3 linked regions of the Mus musculus genome follow. The protein of the gene in region 1 purifies or fractionates together with the protein of each later gene. This does not show direct contact. Links are inferred from orthologs where the notes say so. Each region holds a gene or a part of one and is shown on either strand. Other genes may lie near its edges. The genes, in order: Marchf6, Plin2 and Sqle.

Region 1 (4,386 bases):
CACACATTCTTGCATTCAAGTCAAAACACTCTATGATACTGTTTTAAATACCCTGCAGTAACTGAGCAAGTAGAATCATTTACAAGCTTTGTGCCACCTTCATTTTATAATGTTTGTCATGAATCTATCCCTTGCAGTTATTTCAAGTCAATTTTAAGTTGTGAAATAAAAAAACAAACAAAACAAACAAACAAACAAAAAACCCTTTCAATTCAAAACTTTACAAAAATGGCCATGAAAACTATTACTATTCACTTTCATATGCCTAAAGAGTTGACTCCTCAGGTAAGGAAAGGTGCCTGGTGGCCTCAATTCAACTCCTAGAACCCATACGGTGGAAGGAGAATACTGGCAAAGGTCTTGTTAGCTTATATTAATAATTCATCCTCCAAAGGAAATGACAAAAACAAGTTACCGCACTCTGGAACACTTGACGAGCCTCATGAACCATCTCTCCAGTTCACTTATGAATAACTACACGGGGTCTGACATGAGTGACTCTTTCTCCTGCCTTTGCCACCTGAGTGAACTTGGGCAAGTTGCTCATCCAAATTAACCTTTAGTTCCTTCACCTGTGTAACAGCAGGTTGCTTCCTTCCAAAACCTGAGAGGTACTACAGTGTTAGTAAAGGGAAAGCACTCTGAGTCCTCACTAAGTGATCAGTTACTTTGAGTTCAATATCCAAATTGATTTTTAAAACATCACTTATATCTTATCCCAATAAAAAAAAAGTACCTTCAAGCACTAGAAGTACCATTTCCTTCATGACATCACACTCAGTTTCTCAATTCCTGAGTTACTAATACCTGTGGTCATTTCATAAATCTGTGAAGTACTAACTGCCCAGGTGGAAAAAAATCAGGTTTTCATATAATATGTCAGTGCAAAGCCAAGTAATACAGATGCTAGATTTAGTCATTAAAACTTAAATCAAAGGAGATTATGTGTAGTTGAGAGCACTTGTTCTTACAGAGGACCAGGTTTTGAGTCCCAGCACACATGGCATTTAACAACGATTAAATACATATGAGCAAAATACAAACAAACTCGAATCAAAGCCAGGCATGGTAGTACAAGATGCTGAAACAGAGGAGTATGGAGAACTCATTTCAAAAACCAAACAAAACAAAGACAGGCACTGAATATAAACGGCTGTGAAACCTACAGAGATGTAAACACAAGATCAACCTGGGCGATTGTTAATCCTCAACAGTTTCTTTCCCAAAGTTCTGCAATGGCAACTAGCTTCACTCATTGAATAGAACCGTACTGTAGCATAATGAAGTGGCAGCGACAAACAATGAAAATAGGGTCAACTGTTTCTTACCACCCGTGTGAACCTTAACCAAGCTATTAAATAAGCCTACATTTCCACAGCCACGAAAGGTAACACACATCCACCCCGCAGGGCTGTCGGGAACGTCAAAGTGAATCAATCCTCCTGTGCATATTTTGTAAACAATACTTTTTTTTAAAAAAAATCAACTCATCACATTATTACTAAACTTTTTATTACTCTAATGACTTCAATACAAGTGCTTGATGGTTCGATTGCATGTAAAGTCGGTAAAATAAAGCCTGAGGTTGAAAAGAACGCTCATTCGAACAAGAATATATCTAAACAGTAAGTATCTGCACTAGTAAGTACATGATCAATAATTTCCTCTACAGACTCACTAATACATCAGTGCCTCTAAAAACTGCTTTAAAACACTTTGCCACAACGTCAGGTAAGCGGCTGCTTTCTACACCCATGTGGCTGCTTTTCTTTCGTGTTCTCTGCTAATTCAAAACAACCGCATCCAAAGTACACGTCCACAAACAAAACAAACAAACCCTTGCTTTGTGGTGACAAGGATTTAGAAGAAACCTAAATATTCGCCTTTCCCTCCTCCAATAGTCTCTAGAAACCGTCCCCTCTCGGGTCTGGTCAGTGCAGTTAGGGTAAGGCAAACAGAGAGCAAGATTTTGCAGCAGGGGTCAGTTCAGTCCACTCAGCAGTCGTCACCTCGCGGGGTATTTTCCGCGAAGTTTCAAAGTCAACAAAGAAGTTGTGTGGCAGAGGTTGGGCCTACAGGACAACAGCAAACAGACTCGAACACGGAGGGGGGAAAAACGAGTGGGGGAGGGGAGTGGAAACGCCCCCGGACTTCGCACTGCGGCCCCCTCCTCCGCGGACCGCGGGATGGCGGTGGCCGGGGCCCCGATCTTCCACACCGTCAAGTCCCCGGCAGCCCCACGCCTCGGGCACCCTATGGTCTCCAGCGCCCCACTTCCCGACATCCCCATGTCTCGAGCACCCCACGTCGCGACACCCCCACGTCCGGGATGTCCCACGTCCCGGCACCCCACGTCTCGGACACCGAAGTCCTGGCACCCCAGTGTCCCAGCCGAGGCTGAGTCCTCGTCGCCCGCGGGAACCGGCGGGGGGCGCGCAGAGGGTCACCTTCCGATCCGAGCCCGCTGGAGGACCAGCTCGAGCCGCGCGCTCGCCCGCCCGCCCGCCCGCCCGCCCGCCGGGCAAGCAAACTGCCCGCGGGATCCGCCGCGAGCGCCTCGGCCCGACTGGAGCGCGGGCGCCGCTGCAAGGGCGCGGGCGCCGCCGCCTCACCTTCCTCGGCGGTGTCCATCTTGTCTGGGGGGCGGCGGTGACGCAGCCGCGAGGCGCCCGCGACCCGGCAGAGCCTCGGGGCCCGAAGGGAAAGGCGGGCGGGCGGGCGGGAGGAGTGGAGGAGGAAGAGGACGCGGGCCGGGCAAGTGCGTGCGCTCGGGTGCGAGAGGAAGCCGGTCGCGGGCGAGGGGGACAGGGACAGCGACTGACAGAAAGCGAGCGCCGGGGAGGGGGGAGGGGCGCGCGGCCGAGCGACGGGCCTGGGCGGGGCGCGCGGCGGAAAAGGCGGGGCGCCGGAGCGCTGCGCGTCACATCCGGCGCGCGCCTTCGCTCGCGCTCGCGCCGGGCTCGCGGAGGCGGGGGCGGGGTGCGAAACACGGCCTGACTGGTGGCGAAGGCTGCGCGCGGGATGGAGACTGAAAACCTAGAGGCAGGCGGCAGGCACCTCGCGGAGGGGCGGCTGCGGCGGCGGCGGCGCGGGCGCGTTCCGGGACAAAAGGAACGCGGAGCGGCGGGAGCGAGCCCGGCGCGCACGCCCGCCCGCCCGCCGGAGCGGGTGTGGGGGACAAAGGGTCCCAGCTTGGGGTACCCGACCGCCACTCCCGGGGCGTTCAGAGTCGGCCCCGGAACGAGCATTTTTGGTTCCGCTCTTGAGTGGTTCTGAGGCACGTCTGAAAGAATTACAGAAGCATCCCTAAGATGGAAAAAGACGAGCATCCAGGTTATCAGAATCTCTCCTGGGGAGGCTTATGCAATTGAGTGGAAAGACCACGTCTTCACAGCTGAAAGCCAACATTGAATCTACCTCTAAGGGAAATGGGTTCAGATGGCGACACAATTAAGGGAAGCTTACCTGGCCAGAACTAAATGGCTGATGAAAGAATGATGAAAGACTCAGACCTGCTCGCATCAGTAGGCCACCTTCCTCACATAATCCTTAGAGCTTTCTCTAAATAAGATAGTACAGATTAGAAGAAAAGTGTTTCCAACCCGGATGCTTAAACGTGCACATAACGGAAAGTAGATTCAAGAAACGGAATTTTGGCCGGGCAGAGGTGGTGCATGCCCTTAATCCCAGCACTTGGGAGGCAGAGGCAGGTGGATTTCTGAGTTGGAGGCCAGTCTGATCTACAGAGTGAGTTCCGGGACAGCCGGGACTACAGGGCTACACAGAGAAACCCTGTCTCAAAAAACCAAAAAAAAAAAAAAAAAAAAAAAGTTATGTGACTGTTTTTGTTTTAACCCCAGGTGTGGGATATGGGGCTGCTTCAGATGGGCCACAACCGTTAACTATGATTGTCTCGTACTCTAGGAGGGGAGTGATCTAAATGGCAGTCTCCAGAGCAGTGGGAGGTGCTTTGAGGAAGAAGAAGTGGGGAGAGGAGGAGGAGGCAGAAGAGAAGGAGGAAGCAGAAGAGGAGGAGGAGGTTTTTGGTTCCTGCTGCTCCTGTTGCTGTTGCTTAATGAGACGTTGGAGATGCCCTGTTGTGGAAGATTGGACTGATCTCAAGAAACTCAATGCCCCTAATGATCAGGAGTAGTCAAAAAGGTCTACATCCCCCTTTCCCTCTAACCTTCCTTCTCTTCTACCTTGATGTACTAGAACACAATAGAATAGACCAAAAAAAAAAAAAAAAAAAAAAAAAAGCCCCCAACAGAAGACAGTCCCTGTAGGTTTGTCTTTGAGATTTCTCACAAAAAAAAAAAAAAAAAAAAAAAAGCTAAGTTTAGCCCCATGCAGATGCTCAGCTCCTGATTCCACACACACTGGTAT
Region 2 (4,260 bases), on another chromosome or scaffold:
ACAAGTTGGGGAGGAAAGGGTTTATTCGGCTTACACATCCATACTGCTGTTCATCACCAAGGAAGCCAGGACTGGAACTCAAGCGGGTCAGGAAGCAGGAGCTGATGCAGAGGCCATGGAGGGATGTTCCTTACTGGCTTGCTTCCCCTGGCTTGCTCAGCCTGCTCTCTTATAGAACCCAAGACTATCAGCCCAGAGATGGTCCCACCCACAAGGGGCCTTTCACCCTTGATCACTAATTGAGAAAATGCCTTAGAGTTGGATCTCATGGAGGCATTTCCTCAACTGAAGCTCCTTTCTCTGTGATAACCCCAGCTGTGTCAAGTTGACACAAAACTAGCCAGTACACTCCTATAATAAATAATTAAATCTAAAAAAGAAAAAAGAAAAAAAAGAAAAGTTTGGGCGGGGAGCTAATTCAGTGGTAAGGGAGCTCAATACCCAGCCTGAGGACCTGAATTAGATCTGGTATTCTCTGAGCATTGGCACGGCATGCATCTACACACAAATGCATACACACATGCAGACACAAAATGTAAACACAAATGTAATCAAATTTTGTTTTTTCAATCTGCACACGCTGTATGAGAAAGCTAACTCAGGAAACCCCCTTGGATGATGCCTTTGTAATTTCAGTTATTAACACAAAAGTGTTTTGGAAATTTACTTTTTCTTTTCTTTTTGGTTTGTTGTCTTGTCTTGAGACACGTTCTCACTATATAGCTCTGACTAGCCTGGATTTTGTTAGGTAGACTAAAGTGGGCTTGAACACAAAGATCTGCCTGCCTAATTGGACTAACGGCACACACCCTCGAGTATAGGGTTGTTGTTGTTGTTTGTTTGTTTGTTTGTTTGTTTTTCCTTTTTGAGACACTGTCTCATACAGCCCAGGCAGCCTGCAGTTCACTATGTAGCCATGGTCTGCCTTCAACTGACACCTCTTCACCTCCCTTCAAAGTGCTGGGGTGTGAGCACCACGCCTGGCTGGGAAGTTTCTATTAGAGTAATAAGAGTGAGCACCGGTATGGCTGTGAAGAGCCCATCCGTGTGAAGGAAGGTCAGCAGACAGTTTCTGGGTAGAGGAGGGATTGTGCTTCAGGAAGGCCTGGGGGATCCCTGGTGTGACTTAGCACTCACCCTACCCAGTCCCTTGGGCTCAGTGTTGACCGCAGAATCTAGACTCACTTTGTGGCTCCAGCTTCTGGATGATGGGCAGGGCACTTGTCATGGCCGCAGAGGTCACGGTCTTCACGCCCTTCTCGGCCATCTCACACACGGATCTCAAATACGGGTACTGATCCTTTGTACTGACATAAGCGGAGGACACAAGGTCGTAGGTAGAGCTCACCAAGGGCAGGTTGGCCACTCTCATCACCACGCTCTGCAAACACGGAGGAGTGGATAGTAATGACTCAAATCACAAGAAAGGAAAAAGGACCAAGAAACGAATACTTAAAAAAAATCATACCTGTTGCGGATCCACTACTGCTGCTGCCATTTTTTCCTCCTGGAGAAAAGAGACGCCTGGAGAGAAAAGAAACTGGTTTCAGAACATTGAGGACCAATTCCTGTCCCAACCTAGGCAGGCCCACAATTCCAGCATAGACAGTTTCAGTTCCCCAACCCCACCCCTCTAGTTCAGAGCCCTTTTCAAGGCCAACAACCTGACTGGAGGCTCCAGGGCTGTTTACACACTTTCAATAGGAAAGAGTAGTCATTGTCCTGTCTCTTAAATGGGACACTAGAAATGCCTCTGAAATGCCTGTTCTCAAAAATGCTAACCCAAAAGGCAGAAAATTCCATTTAAACAGAAGACATCTTAGATTCCCCCAAACACCTGCCCTTAATTAGTTAATGGATTTATTTCTGTAGGCTTTCTGAGACAGTATTTCTCTTTGTAACAGTCCTGGCTAGCCAGGTTGGCCTGGAACTCACCAGACCTACCTGCCTTTGCCTCCCAAGTGCTAGAATTAAAGATGGCCCTTGCTATACTTAGTCTCTGCCTGTCTAAAGCCCAGGCTGACTCTCTCTACTCTACTTCACTAGTGTTGGTATTAGGTACAGGCCACCATGCCGGGCTCTCAGCATCAGGACTATCAAACTGATACTTGAGGGTGTTTACCACTCTTGTGAACAAGATTGAAACCAGCAGTGGCTGCCTTAATGCTGACTGAGCTCAAGAAAGTCACTCCAGGGAACTGTAAAATCTCCTATCCCCAGTGACCCACACCCACATGAAACTGCCTTCTGCCCAGCAACAGAACCTGTCTAGACTGCTCTGCCTCCAATCCAAAGTCCCAGTTCCTTAGGAAGAACTGTCCAGAAAGCAGAAGCTTCGAGCAGTATCTATACCAAGGAGCAGCCCATAAAATATCTCCTTCCGTTTTCCAAGGGTGAGGTGGGGCTGAGGCAGAGGAGGAGCAAGAGTTTCAGCCCAGCTTGGACCATAGAGAGCCTGCGGGCAGCCAGTGCTGCCTAGTGGGACACTAAAGGAAACCCAGACAATTCTCACTATGCACCTTATAAGTTCTTCTGTGAGGTGTTTCCATTTAAATAAAACCTCGACCGGACAAATGCAAGTTGCTCTACCACAGAAGGACGTGCAAACAGAAAGGAAAACTCTAGAACAAAAGCGAGAGCTTTCCCAACCAGCCCGGGGCTGCTCCCTCCCCCCTCCTCCCCCACCGACCCATTGCTGCAGTTCCGAGCCCAGTGCAGGCAGAGCAGCAGCGGCCTGAGGGCCAGATCTGGTGCAGGACCTACCTAACAGGAGAGCTGAGGGACGAGCAAGTCCGCACGGTCCAGATCACCACACAGCAAAGCGGCCAGAACGACTGTTAAAATATCGCTTGACTGCCCCGCCCAAGCCTCCGAGCCACGTGATAGCCCAGCTGCCTGGGGCCGCTGAACCCTGTGCTGGGCTGGACTGGGACTCTGGGGCCACTCATTGGGGATGAGGGCGTGGGAACCCCAACCTGGTGCCACAATATCGGGGGCCTCCTTGGTTTCCTGAGCCCAGTGCCCTGAGATCCCAGATCAGTACAAGAAGAGCAGGAGCCAGCCGGGGCGAGGCCTTCTGCTGTCTGACTTAGGTCAGGGGTCCTGAAAGCTGCATTGCAAAGATGCAGGGCGTCTTGGGGTTTTGGAAAATGCAGACAAATTAACCAGAGTCTTCAGAAAAGACCACTTCAAAACTGGAAGTTCGGGTTCTAACCTTTTACTTTAAGTCAAGAAAGTTACAAAGATGTGTGGAATTCCAACACGTTAATGACCTGTAGGGACTTCTGGTTTACTGCTCTATGGATGTAAACAATTCATCCATGGGATGTGGCGGCTCTGGTCTGTAATCCCCAGCCAGCACTAGGGAAATTGCGGCAGGAGGATTGTTGTGAGTTCTAGGCCAGAAAAAATACCGTTCTCAAAGAGAGACAACTTATCAAAAGCTTCTAATTAAAAGGTTGATCTGAATTTCCACAAGCAAAGCTTGAGCCTCTCTTCTGTGTTTTCTTTAGTAAAACAATTCCAAATTGCTCCTTAGTGATATCAGCCAACAACTAAGGAAGATGGCCAACTTTATCGTGACTTATGCAATATTTTTAAGTGGTCTGAATCATTTTTTAATCCTTGTCGAGAGGGCAGGGACGTGAACTGGGTTATTTGATCTTGAAAGTTGTACAGCCATCTGGAGTCATAAGGGTTCAGGGAATTTCTTTCCTGGAAAAAGATACAGGTGCAGGCCTTCTAGTTCCTTGCAAGGGAAACTAGAAGGAACAGTTGAAGATAGGAAGGAAGCTCTTGTGCCCTAGCTACATAGATCCCCTGTCACCAGAATATGTAATAAGAGCAACAGCAACAGTGCTGGGCCCTACTAACCGGGGCTTGTGGAAGGTGCCTTTGGAGCTATGGAATTTGAACTCTGGGCAGCACTCACCTCCACGTCAATCATTTCCCCAAAGTTGCATACACACAAGCGCTGCTTACTTTTTCAAAGGTCCAAAGAGCCAAACTGGCTTCATTAATATGTGTGCCTGAATCAATCCATTGCAGGCACTGGAAGACACCACCGTATAATTATAAAGGAAAAAGAAAAAGAAGAAATGTCTGGAAGTCCAAAGATGCTCTGGATGTTTTTATTAAAGATTGTGTTTTACATGCGTATGCATGTATGTATGTATGTATGTATGTATGTATGTATGTATGCCACATCTGTGCAGATGTCATCTGAGACCTTTTAGAAAAGGACATTGGATTGCTAGGAGC
Region 3 (3,413 bases), about 28 Mb from region 1:
GGCCAGTTCGGAGTAGGAGTGACTCAGGCAGTACATAGCAAGTGATATCTCGGGGTTAATGACAGCGAAGTAGACAAAATAGCAGAGAACGATAACTGCCCAGCTCTAGGGCTTTAAGGCTTATTATAAATAGAAAGGCTTTGTGTCTTTTATTTGGGAACTAAATGTAAGATGGGGTAGAAAGCTCCAATTAATATTTACTGCAACAGACAATAGCTTAGAAAAACTCAAAACTTAGAACTCTCTTCCTCTTATTAGTCCACTTTAACTTCCATTCCATTTCGTCCAGATTGGTCTTAGATCACAATGAATGAGTTTAGCAAGAGGGGACAGATGGATAGCTGGAGTCTATGAGAAGCAGTCCCACTTTCTCTGCTAATGGGCACCAAGAAACTCAACCAAGGAGCTTGAAGCATCTCAGATGTTTACCTATTTTTGTCTGTTTCTTTAAATATTTTTTTTTTACTTTGCAAGTTTAATACATGGATTGGGGAGGGGTGCAGATGCTAGAGTATCATTTGTTTTGAAATAAGATCTTACTATGTATGTAGCTCAGGCTACTCTCCCAATCGTCCTGCCTCAGCTTCCTGGCTGCTAGGAGAAGCAGCATGCACCACCACATCTAGCTTAGAATTTTACATTTTCATTATTATGAATGTTGAACCTAGAATGGCCAACTTGTCTATAACGGAGCAAACAGAGCAATGCACATGGCTATTTGCAATGCGAGCCTCTTGTTCACAGTAGCAGGAAAGGAGCTCCAACCTCGGCTAGAGGCGCCTATTCATGCTGTAAATAATGCTTCCAAAGAAACTCAACCACACTGCTTCTCCTCCCCAAAGCTGGCCAGAAAGGCCTTTCACCAACATTATACCACGCGAGGCCATATATGCTCTAGCCTGGACCAGAGGACTCAAACAAATACCTTCCTGAAATACTGCTACGGGTGTTTTCTAAGGAATGCCAACAGCCCCCAGAAGAAGTGGTGGGCGGATACATGATGCTGAGATGTGGGGAATTGCAGGCTGGTCTCCAGTCGAGCTGAGGTCTGAACCCCAATGGTCATAATCTACCTACATGACACGATAGGGGTTCCCTCATGCTCCTGGAACTCCAGCCCCTACCTAAGATACAACCTCCCACAGCCCCCACAAGAGAAGCATGGTCAGTAGTCATGTAAGCAATGGCCCAAGCTTCTGACCTTCAGGCTAAACTCCTCCCCAGTTACCTCTACCACCTCCCCAGTTCCTCTCTTTTCTCTTTTCTCTCTCCTACCCTCTCTCTTTCCCCTGCATTTCTATAATAAGGCTCTTAAACCACAGAGCCTCTGCTCTGCTCCATCAAGGCCCGCTGCGCACCCTGGTCAGTGTTGGGAACGTCTTCCTCTATTCCCTCTCTTCTGCAACCCTGGGGTGCTAGCAAGGTAGCTCCGGGCAGGGGGGGGGGGGTGTGGTCGGCGGCTGCCCCTTTTCCACCCCCACCACGTGGGTCAGGCATGCTCACCCTGGGCCCTGTGGAAAAGTGCCCAGCAGCTCTGCCTGTGTCTGCCTGCCCAGAGCACAGGAGCTCTGGCCGGACCTTAGGCCCCTTTTCCTCCCCCACTTCCCCCAGGCCCACCTCAGGCGTCCCTTTTATTTTGTTCTCAACACTGAGACACCACAAGAACTACCACATGGCAGTGGGTAGTCAGGTGATGTGTGGTTATAGACTAACTACTTTACTAACTTTGGTAATGTAGGTCCCTTATCTGAGAAAACTTAAAAGTCTACAAGTCATTTCACTTAAAACTATCTATACTTACCATCTGTAGCTGAAAATAATTCATACAAGGCCTGAGCCAATACATTCACAACAAAGGAATGGGTCCTTTTTCTTGACCAAAAGAATGATTTTTTGGCCTAAAAATGAAGAATATCATTTATTACAAGTCAGGAGGGAAAAAAGCTTAAGTAAATGTTTATCATCTCCTCAAAAAGTTATCTGTCCCAAGGCCTATCTGCAGGTAATAGTGCCACACTCTTTCAGGGCAATGGGCCACATGACTTTGAAGCTAACCTTATAGCTCAGAGAAGAGTGGGCTGGGCCAATCTGCTGTACATATGCTAAACCATAGACAATAAAAATGCAGTTTGAAAGTCAAGCTTATACCTGAATAAGACTAAGGACCATTATGAACCATAAGCCCCCCCACGCGCACACACGCATAGATTCCCACTGGGCTCCCAGTCTGCTCATTCATCAACAGATGTATTTTGAGCCATTCCGTGGGAGGAAAACTCTAGACTCTTACCTGGAAAATAGCAGCATCATCATAAAGGTCAGGAATGTCTTTTAACAGTTGTCTCCACAATTTTATATCTTTTAAAGCAACTGTCATTCCTCCACCAGTAAGAGGGTGCCTCAGGTTATACGCATCTCCCAGAATAAGGACGCCTGCGGAAAGAGAACTAAGACTATGAAATCCTGAACAGCTTGGAGACAAAACGTTAGTGCTAACAAACCTGTGATTGACAGGAGATAAGATAGCCAAGAGTAAACTCTAATTAAATCTGCTTTCTGTGGCTGAACTGAAAAACTTAGGATCTCAACAAAGCTGATGCCAAAAAACAAACAAACAAAAAACCCTTAAGTTCCAGTGCCTATATAGGATAAAATTAAGTATTAAAAATATTAAACACATACGCTGCCCTGCATGTGGTGTGTGCCTATAATCTCAGCTCTTGAGAGCAGAGGCAGGACAGATGACCGAGGTCATCCTCAGCCGTCTGGTTTCAGTCTGGGCCGTTAAGACCTTTTCTCAAAAAGAAAAGGGGGTAGTGGGGAGGGAGAGGCAGAGGAGAGATGGCTTAGCAGGTAGGAGTGTGTGCTACTCCTCCAGAGGATCTAAGTGTGCTTCCCAATACCCACATCAGGACCATCTGTAGCTCCAGTCCCGGGGATGCTGATGCCCTAGCCTCTGAGGTGTTACATAAACATGGCAAATACACATGTAAGTAAAAACAAATTCTTAGCCAGGCACAACTCCAGCACTAAGAACAGAGACTGGTGATCTCTGTAAATCTGAGGTCAGACTGATCTACGTAAGTTTCAGTCCACAGTGAGACCCTGTCTCCAAACAAGTAATAAGCCTTTAAAATATACATTTAAAACACAACTATATGCCAGCTATCAATCACTACTGACACCTGCCAAAAATGCCAGTTACAGGGATCTCCTGGCGCTCCTAGAAATACTACTGTGTCTCAGGCAGCCTGGGAGCAGGTTCTGCAGACCCTGTTCCTATTCAGTCCCTGCTCCCACTGATCACCTTCATACCCAAGCAATGTCCTCCCCAGCCACACTTCTACTGCAGAACCCCGCTCCCAGCCTCGGACGCCCCAAACAGTGACTCCATGCTACCATAGATGCAGGGG

Evidence for each region.
Region 2: the proteins of Marchf6 (region 1) and Plin2 purify together in Homo sapiens (affinity purification with western blotting; 3 studies listed by BioGRID). This does not show direct contact. The link is inferred for Mus musculus from reciprocal best matches to the Homo sapiens genes MARCHF6 and PLIN2.
Region 3: the proteins of Marchf6 (region 1) and Sqle purify together in Homo sapiens (affinity purification with western blotting; 4 studies listed by BioGRID and IntAct, with this or other methods). This does not show direct contact. The link is inferred for Mus musculus from reciprocal best matches to the Homo sapiens genes MARCHF6 and SQLE.

The regions. Positions count from the first base shown.
Region 1 is NC_000081.6:31,528,191-31,532,576, forward strand, and holds the start of Marchf6 (E3 ubiquitin-protein ligase MARCHF6), read right to left. Parts: upstream 2,848-4,386; 5' UTR 2,632-2,847; coding exon 2,613-2,631; intron 1-2,612. UniProt on the Homo sapiens protein: Endoplasmic reticulum membrane-associated E3 ubiquitin ligase that plays a critical role in mitigating endoplasmic reticulum stress, the regulation of cholesterol and lipid homeostasis, and ferroptosis.
Region 2 is NC_000070.6:86,667,182-86,671,441, forward strand, and holds the start of Plin2 (perilipin-2), read right to left. Parts: upstream 2,879-4,260; 5' UTR 2,764-2,878; intron 2,385-2,763; exon of another isoform or gene 2,265-2,384; intron 1,525-2,264; 5' UTR 1,499-1,524; coding exon 1,469-1,498; intron 1,382-1,468; coding exon 1,186-1,381; intron 1-1,185. UniProt on the Homo sapiens protein: Structural component of lipid droplets, which is required for the formation and maintenance of lipid storage droplets.
Region 3 is NC_000081.6:59,325,055-59,328,467, reverse strand, and holds part of Sqle (squalene monooxygenase), read right to left. Parts: intron 2,434-3,413; coding exon 2,291-2,433; intron 1,899-2,290; coding exon 1,802-1,898; intron 1-1,801. UniProt on the Homo sapiens protein: Catalyzes the stereospecific oxidation of squalene to (S)-2,3-epoxysqualene, and is considered to be a rate-limiting enzyme in steroid biosynthesis.